Caenorhabditis elegans: one gene and its partner. The protein of the gene in region 1 interacts with the protein of each later gene in a biochemical or structural test. Each region holds a gene or a part of one and is shown on either strand. Other genes may lie near its edges.

Region 1 (3,928 bases):
TTAAAAAGCATCATAATCTTTTGTAGAATGGATACAAATGTATTGATAATAAATAGATTGCATGCTAGTAAAAACATTTAAAGCATTTGTGATGGTTGAAACAATAGAAAACACGTGGAAATGGAAAACCGTAATTGAAAAAAGGAACATGGAAAACGTTTAGTTGTAGGAAACAGTTGATTAAAAAAAAACTTTCTCTATTGTTGATTAATACACTACATAATTTTTTAATTCAATCCGTAATAATGTTTTCATGTTTTCGAATACCTAAGATTCTGAAAATGTTTGAACTCCTAACGTTCTAGATATAAAAATATTCATATTCAATGATTTTAAAAAGTTTAACAATCAGAAGTAGATCTTTCCACCTGTTTTCCATCTAGTTCAATAAGTAAACTAGATGCTCCACCTAAATTTGTTGGTTCAGTTCCAAAATTAGACATTGAAATTGTTGCAGTTGATTTGAAGCCACGAGAGTGACGACGGAGTATTGTGCTTCGGACTCTTTCGTATCTGAAAATATACCGATTATTTGAAAATAAATTTAGTCTTAAAAATAAACGTTAGAAACGCATTTTACAGGAAAATGCATTTACAAGAGATAAATAATACATTTGAATAAAACTAATAAATACAAAAGAAGTAAACTAAAAGTGTCAAAAGCTTTTGCTCACCTTGTCTTACATGGCATCAGTAATATACTTTTGAAAGCTCTTCTGTACTTGTGACTGTATGCAATATAAATTATTGGATTTAAAGAACTCGATAGTAATGACATCCATTGGAATATTGGCCGAATCAACTGAAATTCTTGCTTTTTTAATAAGATAAATATGTAAACAGCTACCATTGAAGTAATTTGAAAAAGATCCGATCGCTGATCAGCAAAGAAGAAAAAATATGTGAAGATGCAATAGAGAGGTAACCAGCAACAAGCAAATACAATTATTACTGTTAACATCATTGTGGCAACTCGTAGTTTTACTCGATCTTCTCGGGCCTAAAAATATTAATATCAATTTACACATAGAAATTTAATGGAATCATTCTAATATCTAGTTTTTGCTAAAAATTTAAAAGAGCCTCGTAAAATAATTTCTTGGCTATCGATTTTTTTGATTTGTTTAAAAATATATAAAACTTACTCTTGCATCAACTGCCAGACTTCTATGTGTTGATACAGTGATAAATATTCTCGTGTATAGACCCGAAATCAAACCAAATGGAACTATGAAAGCCAGCAATAAGTTAACAAATAAAAAATATAATTTTTGATCCGTTTGTGACGTACATAATCGGTAACCATAACTGCCTTCTTGCCATACTATCTGAAATGCATTTTTTGAAAAAAAAACAACGATTTTAAATTTATACCAAATCATAGTTATACCAATTAGGTATTCCGAATATTGCAGCTACTAGCCAAACAGCAAATATAACATATTTTGTATATTCTCGATCCCAGCTAGTGTTGTATTTCAACGTATGGCAAATAGCTAGATAACGATCAGCCGTCACTGCAACCAAGGTGTAAACTGATGCAAATGACGTAGATGCGTTAGCCCATGTGGACAATCGGCAGAAAAATTGACCCCAAAGCCATTCTGAAAATATAAAGCTGTTTTCATTAAAAACGGAAATTTTGCCAAAATATCCCTATAATAGTCTTTTGAGAACCACTTTCAAAAAATGTCAAAATTCTCTGTCAAATTGCCAAAAATTTTAAAAATATTTGATTTTTTGAGAAATTTTGAGCACTGCTGCAGAATTCATACAAAGGATACGATTTTTGCTCAATTTCAAAATTTTTGATTCACACCGAAAACTGAGTAAAAAGTTATTCTGGAAAAATAATTTAAAAAATAACCTTACCTGTGAAAATGCTATTAATCAACGTAGTTGGCAGACAAATCCATAAAATAAACAGATCAGCAAGTGCAAGAGACAAAATTAGATAATCCGTGGTTATATTTAAATTCTTATGAGCCCAAACCGCTAAGACAACAAACGTGTTTCCAAGTACACCAGTGAAGAATACAGCTCCATATGCAACTGTATAAAGAACAGTTAGTTGATATGAATGTCTAAGTAGAGGGACTGGTTCAAGTTGTTCAACATCTGCATATAATGGCTCTACAAATGACGTATTCATTGTTTCCATTTGAACAGTTGCAAAAGTTCAAAAATTTGACATTGGCAGTTTTGGAGATTTTCTGAAATAAATGTATCTTTAAATAACCTGCGGAAGTTGAGTAGAGCATCAAAATCAGAATATAACAACTAATAAAATACAAAATACAAATTACTAGAAAAAGAGAGAAAAAAGAGAAAAATGATGATGGATAAGAAAAAGAAGAAGCCGTCTGAAGATAACCCAATGAAATGACGAAATGCATTAGTAGCGTCCCCCAAGAGAAAAAAGTTTCCCAATGAATTAAGGACGAAAATGAAATAGTTTTGACAATGAACTCAGTATCTATCATGTTAAGATATGATATTGCTACCTACAGTTGTGTCTATAATATCCGTTTTCGGGCTTTGCTTATTTGTAGAAAACCCTTGTTCTAACAAACGTTACAAGTGAATATAGCAAGAACGAGATCGCTGAATTCCGGCCGTTGTATCATCTGTCCAGAATGTTGTGAAATGATCAACATTGTTTTAACATGCAGACAACATTATAAACATCAACTTTACAGTTAAACTTTTTAAAGGTTCCACGTTTTTAGTTATACTCAGTCTAAAAAGTTAAAAAACGATTATGTGATAAACGAAGCATGTAGATACTCTTGGACACCATTCTAGCTTTACCCATTTTAAATGTCATTTGATGAATTCCTAAATGTTTCTGTTTCATTTATTGAATAAATAGGGAGGAAGATACTAAAAAACAGTTTTAGTGGGATTTGACCAATCCGTTTCGGATGACACAAACTGAGTTATAATATTGTAGTGTAGAAAAGTGAAAATGTGCTTTGTCATTAATTGATGCTCGTCTTGATTTCTTGTAAATTCTTTTGGCGGCAAGCTCATAGAGCCTAGGATCACATGAAAAGGTGGAGAAGAAAATAGAAAAAGTGTGAAGAAACCGCCCTCTATCATCATCATTGCCGGCACTTCCTTTGCCCCCTGCACCCAAAACTATATTGAGCCAATTACTACTGACTAATAGTTTGAGGACTCTGAGATTCTTGGAAAATCTGAGAAAATATAAAAATAAGAGAAAAGAGCAAAGATACATAAAAAAACATGTGTTGAAACAGAGAGATACGAAAACAGAGAAACTTGTCAAGCGGTCATGATGGGATATAAAAAGAGATGAAGTCACTGGGTAAATAGATTACGGACACTGGAAAACGGACAGAAATGGAATAAAAGTGTTCGTTTGACGGAAATATTTGGGTTCGAGTTGTAAATGTGATTTATATATTGAATTTGGAAGTTTGACAGGGATAATGTTCTTCTCGACCACAATGTAATAGTTTTTAAAAGTGCACTATTGTCTTAAAACACTCCAAAACTTTCTTAGATTTTTCAAAATCTTTAGTCAAAGTCAGCTTGCAAAATTTTCCAACTTTTCAACTTTTCAACAAATCAACTTTTCGAGCATCGCTGTAGGTACTAGACCAGGGGGTGTGCATCAAATCTCTAAATTTGCCGAGCTCGGTGGACAGCAATTTTGGAAAATTTGCCGCACGCCCTTGTGCTAGAGGACTCTGAAAAATTTCCCACGAACTCATCAAATATTCACTAAAAAGACTCCAACAAAAATCCTGACACAATTCTCTTGAATTCGAGACTTTCAGGTAACAACATTATTACGTGAAACTAGAATTTCGGCTCCTTGACTTTTCTAATGTTTTTGAAAAACAACGAAACTTTGTAACAGATTCGAGAAAAATGTCTTGTATTTGAACATTTTGTGAGC
Region 2 (3,928 bases), on another chromosome or scaffold:
AGTAGCTCCACAGGGAAGAGTTAATTTTGAATAAAATGCTATTTATATTATCATGTATTCGGTTATTTTTCTTATTATATTTTTTTAATTCCCGCTTTACTTTATCCACTTTAAAATTGTATTTTTCAAAATTTAGGCAACTCAAGTTCAAAATTATTGTAGTAAAAATAGGAAGTCTACTTTTAATATTAACAATAACAAATGATATAAAATTCAAATCATTAAAGAACGTAGGAGTTCAATATTTTAATATGTTATATTAAAAATGATATGTTGAGGAAATGCGAATATATGGACGGTGCCTAATGTGAGGAATTTCAGTAATTTAAAAACTAGCTTTAACCCCGGAGTGATTTAGATATTTAGAAAAATCCATCGAGATGCTGAAGTTTGAAAAAGAGGGGGAGGGGGAAACGGGGTAGAAAAGGAAAAGTACCAAAAAATCAATTACAGGCTCCGCCCTAATAATGGTTTCTTTTTTGGATTTGGAATTTTCTAACTATTTTATCAGTGTTTTTTCTTACTTTGTTCATTTTTCTATTCAAATTCATTCAGTAAAATTCTAAAATTTTGCAGTAGGCACATGTGTAGGCCGCCAAGAATTATGTGTTTTGTTCTAAGAATTTCTAAAAATATGTTGTATTTTCATTTATTTTTTCAATTTCCCCCACCCATTCTTATCCTTTCCAAAACCACCTGCATTTCTGAAAAAAAACTATTTTTTCTTTATTTTGCCAAAATCTCTCCCATATCCGAAGCCATAAATTTCCGTTGAATTTGTTCAGTTTTACGATTTTCGCATTAGCTTCGATTCGTTTTTTATGTAAATTTTTTCCCGAATCCAGGAACTTTTCAATTTAACTCTTAAAAATCTATTTCCATGCAAAAACGTTACCTCATCCTTCTTGCATAACGTCATTGTTTGCTCTTTTTGTTCCCGACGGCACCGCCCATTTTGCAACGTTTTCATTAAGTTGGTAGAGAATTGTTGGTGTAGAAATGAAAATAAAACAAAGAAATGCACAAAGAGCAACTTTTTGACCTTTTTTGTCTGGAACTACTTTTTTATACTTTTCAAGAAAAATCAGAATTTGTCTTATTACCTGAAACTTGTAAATACTTGAATGTTCTAACTTTTCAAAGAGAAATTGGCACAAAAGTTTTCAAAAGCCACGACAACGCAGGAGCCAGCAATTCAGCCAATACCTGAAGTCTAAGCCTACGCCTAAGCTTGCGCCTAAGCTTGAGCCTTAACCTAAGCCTATGCCTGTGCCTGTGCCTAGGCCCAAGCCCAATCCTGAGCATAAGCCTAAGTTTTAGCCTAAGCGTAAGTTCAAGCCTAAACCTAACCCTAGGGCTTTTTTTATTCTATATTTTATTTTTTTTTTTTTCAAATTATTCATTTTCTTTTTTGCTCTAACTCCCAGTAATTAATCACCAATCTATACACTGATTTTAAAAAGCAGCTGCAAAGTTCTATGACATTTCATTCCGTTCCCTTCTACGTAATTTCTCAGACACCCCGCTCTTTCATTGTGATTTCATGGGCATCTGATTTTGGAAAATGATTCAGTTTTCGTGTGCAAAATAACAACATTAACCATCATTTTTGCAGGTAAAAACAAAAAGCAGGCGCGCGCGTGGCCTTCTCCGCCAGAATGTGGTACATCGCTCTCTTGTTGGCCGTCATCGCCACCTCGGTCACAGCACAGAAAGGTTTGGAAATTCAAATTTTTAGAATGAATAGGAAATTAATATAGTGATAATTGTATTAAATAAAATTAATCGTGCTCAAGATTTTGAGCTGAAATTAAAATTTTTAAGGTTTTATCTCTTTGATTTTGCAAATGTCATGTCTCGACTTAGAAAACTTATATCTCAGAATTTTTTTTTTTTTTGAAAGTATTTGAAAGTGTTTGAAAGTGTTCAATATCAAACGTAGAATAATATTCTACACGCAACTTGCCAGTTGACATCTTTTTGATAATAAAACAAGTAAGTTTTAGTAGCTTCAGGAAGAATGCCCCCGTTCTCTTCTGTTCCAATTCAATTGCTCATAATTTAATTGTTTTTGATCATATCAAAAAATGTTTAATTGTGAAATTGTAGGAAAATATTTGTCAAGTACTTTGTTAATTAATGACTTTTTGATAAATCAAAAGCAAGAAAGATATAAGCTTTCAAAGTTGGCACAAATTGAAAAATATTAAATCCCCTCCGCATTCTTTGTAAATTCAACTTCCTAAAATTATATTTTTGTACATAGCAATTTATTTTTTGGAAATTTGTGAATTGAAAAAAGTATTTGTAGTTTTTTTTGTTCATGTTTTGTTTTGAAATTGAAGGTTTTTTGGTACTTTTCCGATTTCTGCCCCCAAAATGTTTTTCAATTTTTTAATTTAATTCACACGTGTATGTTTATTTCAATAGTATTTCAACTTTTAGGCTTACTATTAGAAAACAACAATACTAACAAGCCTGAAATTACAAAGAAGTTCACGTTTCAATAATGAAATTTTCGAAAACATTTTGGGGGGCAGAAATCGGAAAAGTACCATTTTTTTGTGAAAAATTTGATAACACGAAGGATATTACGCTTAAAGTTGTCACAAGTTAAAAAAGAAGGTATTTTTGCGATGAAAATTTACTCGGAATTTTTAATCTTAAAATTGTTGTTATAAATATTATTGATATAATTCCATTAACCTTATCAAATTTTACAGCAGACGACGAGCCAATCGTCTTCCTGGTTCGAGTTCCCATTGATGAAATGGACGATGATTCAAGTCTTCTCGAGTCATACTATCATCCAAGAGGTTAGTTTTTTTTGGAGGTCACTTGACTTATTTTAAGGAAATGAAATAGGAAATGAAACTAGAGAATGGGGTGAGACCAAAGTGGAATATTTTGTTTTGAAATTAGAGTTTGGTTTCGGTTTGCAACAAAAAAATAGTGATCCGGAAGCGCACGGGGTGGGCGTTTTATGGCAAAGATCGGGTTGCAAATATGAAACTTTTTTCTTTGGTTTTTTGTATTTCTAAGAGCTTTTGAATAGGCATGAAATCATTCTAGGCTGTAGGCAAAACTTTACCTACCTACGGGCCTACGAGGCCGGTGTATTTCTCGGGTTTTATAAATTAAAACTTGAGTTCAAAACCTTCCTTCAAATAAAATTTTTTAAAAAGTTTTTCCATAATCAATTTTTTGCAGATATATTATCAAAACGAGCGATTCCATTCAACGGCGGTATGTACGGCAAACGATCAACAATGCCGTTCTCAGGTGGAATGTACGGAAAGAGATCCGGACAGATTTTTGCTCAACGAAGAGCCGCTATTCCATTTTCTGGGGGTAAGTATGAATGTAGGCACTTTGCAAGTTAACCTGCGCGGGTAAACATGGTGCATTGAACGTTTAAGCATATGATCTACCTATGCCTACCTCATCACCAAAGTTTCAACAATTTTTCATTAAAATTGAAAGTTACAAAATACTTTGAATTTTCCGCCGAAACGCTTCAAATTGGTGCCAAGTTTTCAAAGTTTTCAAAATCAATCTTAGGCCAAAACCAAAGCTTAAGCCTAAGTTTAAGCCCAAGCCTAAACCTAAACTTATTCTTTCAAAAAACTATTTTTTTCAGGAATGTATGGAAAGCGTTCGTTGGTGCCACAAAGTTATTCGAATAACGAAAATCAAATAAAACGAGGAGCAATGCCGTTTTCTGGTGGTATGTACGGACGATGATGATTTGTGCTGCATTTTCTGGGAAATTTCAATTATTATCTCTTTGCTCCATCCATTTTTTTTAAAACCAGATCACTCTGTTTCTTTTACTCTTTTCTCTTCCACATCCTCTATCGATCTCAATCTATCTGATCTCATTCCAATTGGGGGATTTATGATGACAATGGATTTTTTATCCAATAAA

Evidence for each region.
Region 2: the proteins of npr-35 (region 1) and nlp-10 interact in a test that uses a peptide from one of them, tested with the Caenorhabditis elegans proteins (one large-scale study listed by BioGRID).

The regions. Positions count from the first base shown.
Region 1 is NC_003282.8:7,742,130-7,746,057, reverse strand, and holds the start of npr-35 (G-protein coupled receptors family 1 profile domain-containing protein), read right to left. Parts: upstream 2,220-3,928; 5' UTR 2,162-2,219; coding exon 1,873-2,161; intron 1,605-1,872; coding exon 1,375-1,604; intron 1,329-1,374; coding exon 1,146-1,328; intron 1,001-1,145; coding exon 848-1,000; intron 803-847; coding exon 675-802; intron 514-674; coding exon 342-513; 3' UTR 27-341; coding exon of another isoform or gene 1-26. Other genes in the region: klo-1 (Glycoside hydrolase family 1 protein), read left to right, coding at 1-26.
Region 2 is NC_003281.10:3,933,596-3,937,523, reverse strand, and holds the start of nlp-10 (Neuropeptide-Like Protein), read left to right. Parts: upstream 1-1,615; 5' UTR 1,616-1,658; coding exon 1,659-1,716; intron 1,717-2,723; coding exon 2,724-2,816; intron 2,817-3,210; coding exon 3,211-3,351; intron 3,352-3,640; coding exon 3,641-3,744; 3' UTR 3,745-3,928.